3 linked regions of the Macaca fascicularis genome follow. The protein of the gene in region 3 purifies or fractionates together with the protein of the main gene of each other region. This does not show direct contact. Links are inferred from orthologs where the notes say so. Each region holds a gene or a part of one and is shown on either strand. Other genes may lie near its edges. The genes, in order: HDAC2, HDAC1 and DDX17.

Region 1 (3,649 bases), on a different chromosome or scaffold from region 3:
TCTAACACATGAGCCACTCAGAAACTTTACCTTGATCACAGCCTCATTTCTGTTTTTTAAATTTTGTGAAGAAATTTTGCTATACTATTATACGCTCTTTATATTCTTATGAGAATAGTCTCATGAGTGCTTAGTCTGGAAATATCAATTTACATTGTATTGTTTTATTTAGCACAGCTATGGCATCATTACATAATAAATACAATGCTTTGCCATCTAATAACAAAATCTCACTTCATTGTACTTCAGAAGGATGACATGAGAAGTCCATTTTCCCTTTATTTTGACATGAGTATACACTGGTAACAAAATGTCATGATATGGTGATTCATGTGGCTCCTAAACTGTGTTTGAGTTACAACTGTGTCATTGTTATCTGTGGTGTTCCAAGCACCAGTTTGAAATGATGAGAGTACCACATGTAGCCTCTGTCACAGCTAACCAATTCTGAAGTTCAAATGGAGCCATGGGTAATAAACAATTGAGCATGGCCATCTTTCAGTAAAACTTTTTCTATGGACACTGAAATTTGAATTTTTTAATTGTCACATGTCAGAAAATACTCTTGTTTCGGTTTTGTTTTTAAACCATTTAAAAAATATAAAAACTATTCTTAGTTCAAAGCTGAAAAAAGAGGCAATTGGCCAAATTTGGGCCATGGGCTATAGTTAGCCAATCCCTATTTTATAATATTGAAGATTTATTACAGAGGTGTTTTAATTAAAGTAACAATCTTGAGTATGGTATAATCTTCAGTTTTTCATATATTAGAAACATGTGCTATGTTTTTGAAGCATGTAGAATGGAACAAATTTCACAAAGAGTAAATATGTATTTTTTAACCTACGTAGGGCCATAAGTGGGTATTTAAAGGCCTAAGGCTCAAACCTCAGATATTTGAATAGCCTTTTAGGCCGAATTTAAAAGGTGATTAAACATCCTGGAATGTTAGAACTCAAAAATAGGTTTCCTGAATTTGTGGTGCTTCTTCCCATCTTATAACCTTTAAAGAAAAAAACAAAAACTTATGGATTTGCTTTCAGGTATCATCAGAGAGTCTTATATATTGATATAGATATTCATCATGGTGATGGTGTTGAAGAAGCTTTTTATACAACAGATCGTGTAATGACGGTATCATTCCATAAATATGGGGAATACTTTCCTGGCACAGGAGACTTGAGGGTAAGACTAAATTCTGTCTTAATAAATACTGTGAGACGAACCTAGGAGATCAGTAACCTTATACTTGAAGTAGAATTTTTCCTGAGTTAATAATTTGAAACTTGTATGCAGAATTCAATTACTTCATATGCAGTAACATTTGCTAAAATTCACTGTTGCTAACTAAGCAAAAATTTAGTGAGAACTTAAGGACTGTTTTTTTTTTTTTTTTTCTCAGCTGTTTTCTTTGGTTGAATAAATATTTTTGAATATCCACAAAGCACGAAGCCCTTCTCTTGATGTTCAGTTTGAATCTTCAAAACTACCTGATGGTAGCCTATGTTGCTATTGATTATAAGGATCGGTGGAATAAAATAGACTAGGTCTTTTTAGGTTCTTCTGCTCCTCTCTTTTGTGATTGGTCTTGACTTTTAGTAGGTCTAATTTTAATCTTTTTTTTTTCCTTAAACTTCTAAAGTTGGTAATGTATTTACGTAGAGAAAGAATAGTGTAGCCCTGCCTGCCTGTTACATTAAGTGTATTTCTATTTTATTTCTGTTATCTTTTTCCATTTGATGCTCTTGTCTTTTATGACTGTGAAAACCACTGGTCAAATCCTATTTCTGTAAGCTCATTGAAGGTTTTTTGCCTCACCACACTTTTTTTGAACCTAACTACACACATGTTGAAATTTATTCAATAATTTAAACAGCTGTTTTTAGTTCAGCCTGGATTATATGGGAGATTTGTCTTATATGGCATTGAACAAAGTTCTAAACTATTTTATTAAGGTTATTTTTCACGTCTATGGTATGTTGTTACAGTTTAGCAACCAGAATTTAAAGAGTTGCCATAAAGTATTCTTAAGCTGTATGGCTTTTCTTTGTTAGACCACAATGTGATCCTTTCTCAGTAAACTCTTTGAGTAAAAGAGTTACCTTAGTAAAACTTTTCCATACTTACAAATGGGTGGGAGGTCAAATGTTTGGTTTGAGTTTAAATTATTTAGCTTTTAAAATTGCAGATTTGTAATTTCAGTTCCTTGCCAGTAAACTCCTTCAATTTATCCTTTTCTCCACCTGGTCATACAGACTAGTGGTTCTCAAACAGTGGACCCTAAACTGAGGAGAAAGCAGACCAGCATCACCTGGGAACTTGTTAGAAATACACATTCTTAGGGCCCAGAAACTGGGTGATTTGAGAATCACTGCTGTAAACCGATAGAATATATTTGTCAGCAACCATTACATCCTAGTGGAAGTCAAGCAAAAGTCTTCTCTGTTTTAAGCTTAAAGAATAAGACAGTATCTTTGCAGTATGATCCTAGTTTATCTCAGAAGTGGAAAATGGAAGCCTCATGTAATTTCTGACAGGTGAATGTCGCTATGGTCTCTTCTCAGTTATTATTCATAATTCTTACAGTTTGAAGTTTTTGAAAATATTAGAGAATGCATGTTTTAGAAGGATTTGAGACTGGGTTTCAACATCTTTTTCTTAAGATTTTACAGTCGCTGTATTAAATGATGTTTTAAGGATAACATTTGAATATTTTAAGCATGTCCACATAATTTTGTGAGAGAATTAAAATCAGTCGTTACATTATACGTACTGCTGTATTTGGACTTTCTGTGTAACTCACATGTATCTTTGGATGTTAATTTAATAAACACTCGCTTTTTCTGCCTGCTAATTCATTCTAATGCTGAAAAGAAGGCTACGCTGAGCTTAGCTCATTGTTGAAACTCTGTTTGCTTTAATTCGAGTAGTCAGTGGAAGAAAGAAAGGTGGCGTAGTAGCAGTTGCAGAATGAGACCTGGAAAAGATAAAGCTTAGTCTAACAAGGGCAGCAGCTCTGAGTTGCCAGCTAGTTAGTGGCAGTTAGGATGAGAAGTGCTGACCAACTTTTCTGCATTCTGAAATCTTAGAGTCAAAATATATTTCGTCTGTGTTTTAACTGTGCAGTAGGAGTGTAAGGATTCACTATACTTTGTCTTTTCCATATTTGTATGGCTTATATTTAGTTACTAAATCTTAATAAAAATTTAGACTGCAAGAAAAATTGGGAGAGGAGGTGTGTAATTTTGCTTGCTTTCCCCTCGTTGGATGATGGGTCTCATAACTCTAATATTGAGGGTAAATTTTGCTTTTGTGAAATTGAACTGAAGCTAAGACCATTCCATGAGAGGTTCAGGAAGAACTTGCACAAGTGCTAGTAATCCTAAAAATTCATGGATCTTCAGACATTATAATTTAACACACATAAGAATTAGGCACCCCACACCCCAGCCAGGCACGGTGGCTCGTGCCTGTGATCCCAGCACTTTGGAAGGCTGAGTCAAGTGGATTACCTGAGGTCAGGAGTTCGAGACCAGCCTGACCAATATGGTGAAACCCTGTCTCTACTAAATACAAAAAAGAATTAGGTGGACGTGGTGGCATGCACCTGTAGTCCCAGCAACTTGGGAAGCTGAGACAGGACAATTGC
Region 2 (3,733 bases), on a different chromosome or scaffold from region 3:
TCGTTTTTGTTTTTTTGAGACCAAGTCTCTATCTTTTGCTCAGGATGGAGTGCAGTGGTGAGAACTCAGCTCACTGCAACCTCCGCCTCCCAGGTTCAAACAATTCTTATGCCTCAGCCTCCTGAGTAGCTGGGACTACAGGCATGTGCCACCACACCTGGCTAATTTTTTTATTTTTTTGAGATCGAGTCTCACCCTGTTGCCCAGGCTAGAGTGCGGTGGCGCAATCTTGGCTCACTGCAACCTCTGCCTCCCAGGTTCAAGTGATTCTCCTGCCTCAGCCTCCTGAGTAGCTGGGATTACAGGTGCGTGCCACTACGCCCAGGTAATTTTTGTATTTTTAGTAGAGACGGGGTTTCACCACGTTGGCCAGGCTGGTCTTGAACTCCTGGCCTCGAGTGATCTCCTGCCTCGGCCTCCCAAAGTACTGGGATTACAGGCGTGAGCCACTGCACCTGGACCCCATGACTTTAATTTCTTTCTCTTTTTTTTTTTTTTGAGACGGAGTCTCCCTCTGTCGCCCAGGATAGAGTGCAGTGGCATGATCTCCACTCACTGCAAGCTCCACCTCCCGCATCCACACCATTCTCCTGCCTCAGCCTCCCAAGTAGCTGGGATTATAGGCGCCCGCCACCACGCTCGGCTAATTTTTTTGTATTTTTAGTAGAGACGGGGTTTCACAAGTTAGCCAGGATGGTCTCGATCTCCTGACTTCGTGATCTGCCCTCCTCAGCCTCCCAAAGTGCTGGGAGTACAGGTGTGAGCCACCGTGCCCAGCCCATGACTTTAATTTCTAAGGTATAAACCTGATGATGTCACTAACCTGCATAAAACTTGAATCATTCACAAGTGCCCTCAATAAAGTCCAACTTCCTTGGGACAGCATGCCCAGCCCTTCATGGTCTGGTCCCTGTTTACATTTTTTTTTTTTTAAGACATAGCCTCACTCCGTTGTCCAAGCTGGAGTGCAGTGGTATGATCTTGGCTCACTGCAACCTCCACCTCCCGGGTTCTAAGGGATTCTCCTGCCTCAGGCTCCAGAGTAGCTGGGATTACAGGTGCGCGACACCATGCCCGGCTAATTTTGTATTTTTAGTAGAGACGGGGTTTCGCCATGTTGGCCAGGCTGGTCTCGAACTCCTGACCTCAGATGATCCACCAGCCTTGGCCTCCCAAAGTGCTGGGATTACAGGTGTGAGCCACCTCACCTGGTCGGTCTCCATTTACTTCAGCAACCACATTATTTGCAACACTTCCCTCGCCCCGGGTCCCCACCTTCTACAATAGGCCCCCAAATCTATGTCTCAGCCATACTGTTACAAATGCCTTTGGCCGGGCGCGGTGGCTCACGCCTGTAATCCCAGCACTTTGGGAGGCCGAGGCGGGCGGATCACAAGGTCAGGAGATCGAGACCACGGTGAAACCCCGTCTCTACTAAAAATACAAAAAATTAGCCGGGCGCGGTTGTGGGCGCCTGTAGTCCCAGCTACTCGGGAGGCTGAGGCAGGAGAATGGCGTGAACCCGGGAGGCGGAGCTTGCAGTGAGCCGAGATCGCGCCACTGCACTCCAGCCTGGGCGACAGAGCGAGACTCCGTCTCAAAAAAAAAAAAAAAAAAAAAAAAAAAAAAAAAAAAAAACAAATGCCTGCTTTTCTTTCTTCCCTTTTTTTTTTTTTTTTGAGACAGAGTCTTGCTCTGTCACCCAGGCTGGAATCCAGTGGCCTGATCTCATCTCACTGCAACCTCCACCTCCCAAGTTCAAGGGATTCTCCTGCCTCAGCCTCCCAAGTAGCTGGAATTACAGGCGCGCGCCACCACGCCCAGCTACTTTTTATATTTTTGTAGAGACAGGGTTTTGCCATGTTGGCCAGGCTGGTCTCGAACTCCTGACCTCAAGTGATCCGCCTGCCCTGGCCTCCCAAAGCGCTCGGATTACAGGCGTGAGCCACCGCGCCCGGTCAAATGCCTGTTTTTCAAAGGTGCTGTCCTCTCTCTTGCCTCTGAAACTTGCTGTTATCTTTGCCTTCCCTTTGCCTGGCTAAGAACTCCTGTTCTTCAGGTCCTGAGACGTCCCCTCCTTCGCTGACTCCTCAGGTGGAGTTCGGTGCCTATTCTCTGTGCTCCTCTAACACTCTGAGCTCTGACACGGAGAGAACTTCGGTCACTGGGACCCGATCATTCCCACCGCCCCAGCCCCTCAACACTTCCTCGAACACAGTAACCTGCTTGAGAGATTAAGTGAGAAGCCTGTTTTAACAGGTTGCATCCTTCTCCTTGCAACCCCTGGCGCCCCACGTCGCAGTAGCAACCGCAGGCCCCGCTCAGAGGCTGGGGGAGGGGAGGCGGGCGACCAGTCGTGCAGGGCTCTTCTCCCAGAAAAGATGAGGAAGAGACGGGGCAGGGAAGAGCTTTGGGTTCTCGGCAAGAAAATGTATCCTTGCAGCCGTCTCCATCAGATTCAGCCTCCCTCCTCGGACGCACCCTCCCCTCTAGGAGTCCCACTCAAACTCTCCACATCAAACTCTCCACATCAGACTTCCTCAGAATCTTCCCACCAAGATTACCTCAGGGTTCCCCCACGCGATCCCCTCGATCTCAGCCTCGATCTCCTTTCCTCACAGCCTCCTCCCTCAGCCTCGACTTCCCCCTCGCAGCCTCCTCTCCGAGCCTCTCCCCAGCGCCTCAGCCTCCCGCAGCCTCCCATCGGCGCTCCAGCCTCAGCCTCCAGGTCCCCGGTTCGGCCCGGCCCGGCCCCGCCCCCGCCGCGAGGACAGTGCTCACCGTCGTAGTAGTAACAGACTTTCCTCCGGGTGCCCTGCGTCTGCGCCATCTTGCTCGCCTCCCGTCCCTACCGTCAGTCGGTCCGTCCGCCCTCCCGCCCGCGGCTCAGCTCAGCGTCCGACCCAGGGGGGAGGGGGCGGGTCTCCGGCCCGCCCCGCCCGTCTCCTCCTGAGCTCACCTATAGCCGCGCAGCCCGGGCACCGCTCCAGCCAATCAGCTTGCGCAGACACGGGCCCGGAACTCGGCAGGGGGCAAGGGCAGCCCGGAGAGGCCGCCGAGGGCCCCCTGGGCCTGTACCAAGGTCTGCGACAGATGGGTGGGGAGCCGCCCGGGGACCGTACCATCAGTCCCGGGGGAGGAAAGCAGCTCCGTAAACTTAACAGTCCCACTTGGTCGTGAAAAGCGTGCTTGGAGATCGGAGGCCAACTTTCTGATTTTACGGAGAATAAACCGAGGCCTACAGGGGAAAAGTGACTTGCACAAGGTCACTCAGCCAATAAAAGGGCTGAACCTGGGTTAGAAAGCGAGTTTGTGATCGCAAAGGAGGGCTACAGAAAAATAATTAAATTAAAAAGAAAAGCAACACGCTGGTTTTGAGAGGAAGAAACTGACAAGAAAGGGAAAGAAAGCTGTTTGTCGAGGGGCTGCTGTGTGCCAAGTACTGTGCGACAGTTTACCAATGTTATTTCAGTTTTTCCTCAAAACACCTCTCGGCCAAGGGCTTTTTACCTCCATTTTACAGGACAGGATAAAGAAGTTCAGATTTCTGTGAATTACTCAAAGTTACACAAAGTAATTAAATTCAATTTTTCAACTGTACAGGGTTTTTTGAATGCCTTCTTTGCACCAGAGGCACTGTAACAAAGTGACAGAACCCAGCCTTTCTGACTCCAAAACCTACCTCCCTGAAGCAGTCACCCAGGATGACTTAAGTAGGAGTCTCTTTAGACAG
Region 3 (3,749 bases):
TTATCCAGTCAGTAATAAGTTTAATTTGGCTTTGCAAAAAAAAATTCACCTTTGAAGATTCATATATTAACATTAAAAACCACATATTAACATTCATATATTAAACATTAAAAACCATCACATGTACAATGCATATCATTTTTGCATCACACACGTGAAACACATGAACTGACCTCACCTATTCCTTTTTCAAAGTAACCACCACTTCAACTGTGTAGCATACATTTAAGAGTAAAACAGCAATTCAAATAATCAAGAACATTTCTTGGGAAAGGGAGAGTTGTGACAAAGATCTTATGAAAGAAGGCCAGTTCGTTTGAAATTTTTAAAAAATGTCATCTGATACAAAGAGTTAAAGTATGGATCAGTAATTCACTTTTTTCCTTTCAAATAACTTATTAAAGCATATATATGGTGAAAGGAAATACTAAACCAAACAGCCATGGTAAAGAAACAGAACACTATTAGTACCTTGTATCCCCTTTATGTGCCTATTTCAAGTTTACAACTTTCACCCTAATAACCACTACCTTGAATTTTGTTAACCATTCCCTTTCCTGTCATATTTGCACATATCCTTAAATGTGTCACCCTACCACAACTTGCTTTTTAACTCAACATGTCTGTGACTTATCCACATTAATCCAAGTTCTTTTCTCTTTTTCACAGCTGATTAAATTGTATTCAATTGCACGAATACCCACAATTTATGGAGACATTTGAGTTATTTCCAATATCCTGTTAGCAGGAATGCTGGTATATAAACTTTTCTGTACAAGGATCCTGAGGCACGTGTGCAAGGATTTCTCTAGGCATTACAGTCTAGGGTGTAAAGCTTAGGGAGGAATTACTGGGCTGTTTTCAATTTTTCTAGATAATCTTAAATTCTTTTTCTAAGTGGTTGTACTGAAATTCACTTCTAAACTCAGCAATACTGTCAAACACAAGCAAACATTCCATCTCTCGTCCTTTAAACAATGAGATCAAATATTTTCCTTCCTAATAAGGTATAAATCAAAATAATTTTGTAAAAACTGGTAACTGAAGTGCTTGTGACTAGTAAATCCAGTAGTTGTGCATCTGAACCACGAAAGACAAAACGTTTGGGGAAAGTACGGTTAATAGAGTGCCTACTACAGCGAGACTATTACATCCATTATCTCTTAATTCCTGACAACACACCAAAGTAAATGCAATTATTATCACCTTCCTCAAAGGAAACAAGCTCACAAAAGTTACGGATCTTGACCAAGGTCACACACACATATAAAGTGGCGTCACTTTACTCTTTTTGGAAGCAGGGAGCGGGCAATCGGAGTTTCGCTCTGCTGCCCAGGCTGGAGTGCAGTGGCGCTATCTCCACTCACTGCAACCTCTGCCTCCCGAGTTCAAGCGATTCTCGTGCCTCAGCCTCCCGAGCAGCTGGGATTACAGACATGCGCCACCAAGCCAGGTTAATTTTGTATTTTCAGTAGAGACAGGGTTTCTCCATGTTGGCCAGGCTGGTCTCGAACTCCCGACCTCTGGTGATCCGCCCGCCTCGGCCTCCCAAGGTGTTGGGATTACGGGCCTGAGGCCTGCGCCCGGCCCACAATACCAAGAACTTTCTAGCGAGGCAGAATAGTTGATGCTGCAGTCCAATTAGAGAAAAAACGCCGAAATATTAAAACTAAATTAACGACCCAAAAAAAATCCTTCCCCCAAACACGGTCATTTAGATGGCAAGCAACTCCATTGCTTTACATCCCAATGCATTTCCTTCGACTTAAAATACGACTGAAGAGGATTAAAACCTATTTTTAAAAATGAGAAGCTGGTCTTTTCGTCTCGTGTCTTAAACAGTGAACTCTGGGGAGAGAACGTCAAGGCTGCCATTTCGTGTAAAGCTTTCCTGGGCTGAAGTCTTCTCTTAGGAAGATCCGTGTTTTTCCAGATGAACGCCGAGGCCTGAAGACATCAAACGGCCCGCTCCAAGCGGCCAGGCCCGAGAGCCGGGACGCCAGGCGAGGCGCCTAAGCCCGGGCCGGGGCTGCTGCGGCCAGGCCGCCCCTCCCGATCCCCCGCGGGGCTGAGACGAGGCCGGGCCGCGCCACGACTGCCTTTCGCAAAGAGAGGCCCAGCGTCGCCAAGCCGCCGCCCTCCTTGGGTCCCGAGTGACCCTGGAGCCGAGGCCCGCGCACGAAACCGCTGTCTGGCCTCGAGTCGCCTCGCCTCCCGGGGTCAGGAGCAGGACTCCCAGGCCCGCAGTCCGCTGGGCCTCCCCAGAAAGCAACTCCCCCACCCCCACCCCCACGCCAGGCCTCTCCTCTCCTCCCCCACCCTTACCCTCCACGGTCACGATCCCGGTCCCGGTCCCCAAAGCCTCCTCCGCGCATGGTCCCAAAAGGATAGAGATCTGGGAGCGGGGCACGGATGGCCGGGCTCGGGAGGGCCTGCGGCTCCGGTCTGGTGACGACCGATGGCGGCGGCGCCTCCGCTGTTGGGGCGGCGGCAGGCGCAGCGCTCTCTCGCTCCGACGCGCTGTCTCCCGTCGCAGACGCCACCGTCGCCGCCTCTCTCGTCGGAGACGGGAGCAAAACACAGAGAATCGGGGCTACAAAGCCGGCGGGCAGGTTTGGCTACGCTCAAACCGGGCAGTGCCGCGGTTTAGGCGTCTCCTTCCTTCCCAGCGACTGCACAAAATGGCGGCCGCAGCTGAGTCGGCTCCAACTTAACGCTACGTACGCCGGAGACGATACGTAAACAGCGTCTCGGAATAGCCCGAGGGCTCCGCGGGGAACTACGGGTATTCTTGGAAGCGCTTTACGTCAGTTGCGACGATCGGCGTATTTTGCGGTCTGTACAAGAAAAACAAAGTACGGAGCGAGCGTAGAGTTCTCGCGCCACCTGAACTAGAACGTGGGGTGCGGTGGGAGGAAGCGCCTCTGGTGCGACGTAACATTCTTTGCGTCGTTAGCCGGCCCGCTGTTGCGAAGATGCGCAGTATGCGTAACGCATTCTGTTTAGAGAATAGAGGATTTTGCCTGATTCCGATCTCGGGACAGACCCCGCGGCCGGCTTGTGGAAGTTGCTTTGCAGAGACAATAACCGTCCTCCATATTGTTATCAAGTTTCAGGGCCTCCTGGTGCCAGAAGTCGGGAGGGTCTTAAGTTCCCTGGCTGGCCTTCCTACATGGGGCCGGCAGCCCTCTCGCCCCGCAGCCCTCGGCCCGCTGAGAATGGCGGCGGGCCCCGGCGCCATTTCCTTTCCGTTGCCTCTCGCTGTTCTGTCTCCGGCAGCCATGATGGATGCGCCGTGTCCCTTTCTTTCGGGAGTTTATGAGGTGGCGATGTCCGCTCCAGGTTAAAGGGTCCTCAGCTACACTTGGTTCACACCGAGGTGCATTTTCTGAACCGTGTATTTTCACCGTCTCTGGCCGAGCACAGCTGTTGCTAATACAGAAACAAAATGTGCTTGGAGGCCGGGCACGGTGGCTCACGCTTGTAATACCAGCACTTTGGGAGGCCGAGGCGGGAGGATCACCTGAGGTCCGGAGTTCGAGACCAGCCTGGCCAAAATGGCACAACCCTGTCTCTACGAAAAATACAAAAATTAGCAGGGCATGGTGGCGGGCGCCTGTAGTCCCAGATACTTGGGAGGCTGAGGCAGGAGAATCGCTTGAACCTGGGAGTCGGAGGTCGCAGTGAGCCGAGATCCTGCCACTGCACTCCAGCCTGGAGACGGGGCGAGACCATGTCTCAAAAAAAAA

The links.
Region 1: the proteins of DDX17 (region 3) and HDAC2 purify together in Homo sapiens (affinity purification with western blotting; 3 studies listed by BioGRID, with this or other methods). This does not show direct contact. The link is inferred for Macaca fascicularis from reciprocal best matches to the Homo sapiens genes DDX17 and HDAC2.
Region 2: the proteins of DDX17 (region 3) and HDAC1 purify together in Homo sapiens (affinity purification with western blotting; 3 studies listed by BioGRID and IntAct, with this or other methods). This does not show direct contact. The link is inferred for Macaca fascicularis from reciprocal best matches to the Homo sapiens genes DDX17 and HDAC1.

The regions. Positions count from the first base shown.
Region 1 is NC_088378.1:17,991,571-17,995,219, reverse strand, and holds part of HDAC2 (histone deacetylase 2), read left to right. Parts: intron 1-1,043; coding exon 1,044-1,185; intron 1,186-3,649. UniProt on the Homo sapiens protein: Histone deacetylase that catalyzes the deacetylation of lysine residues on the N-terminal part of the core histones (H2A, H2B, H3 and H4).
Region 2 is NC_088375.1:202,730,300-202,734,032, forward strand, and holds the start of HDAC1 (histone deacetylase 1), read right to left. Parts: upstream 2,928-3,733; 5' UTR 2,831-2,927; coding exon 2,782-2,830; intron 2,759-2,781; exon of another isoform or gene 2,565-2,758; intron 1-2,564. UniProt on the Homo sapiens protein: Histone deacetylase that catalyzes the deacetylation of lysine residues on the N-terminal part of the core histones (H2A, H2B, H3 and H4).
Region 3 is NC_088384.1:13,144,632-13,148,380, reverse strand, and holds the start of DDX17 (probable ATP-dependent RNA helicase DDX17), read right to left. Parts: upstream 2,687-3,749; 5' UTR 2,376-2,686; coding exon 2,326-2,375; intron 1-2,325. UniProt on the Homo sapiens protein: As an RNA helicase, unwinds RNA and alters RNA structures through ATP binding and hydrolysis.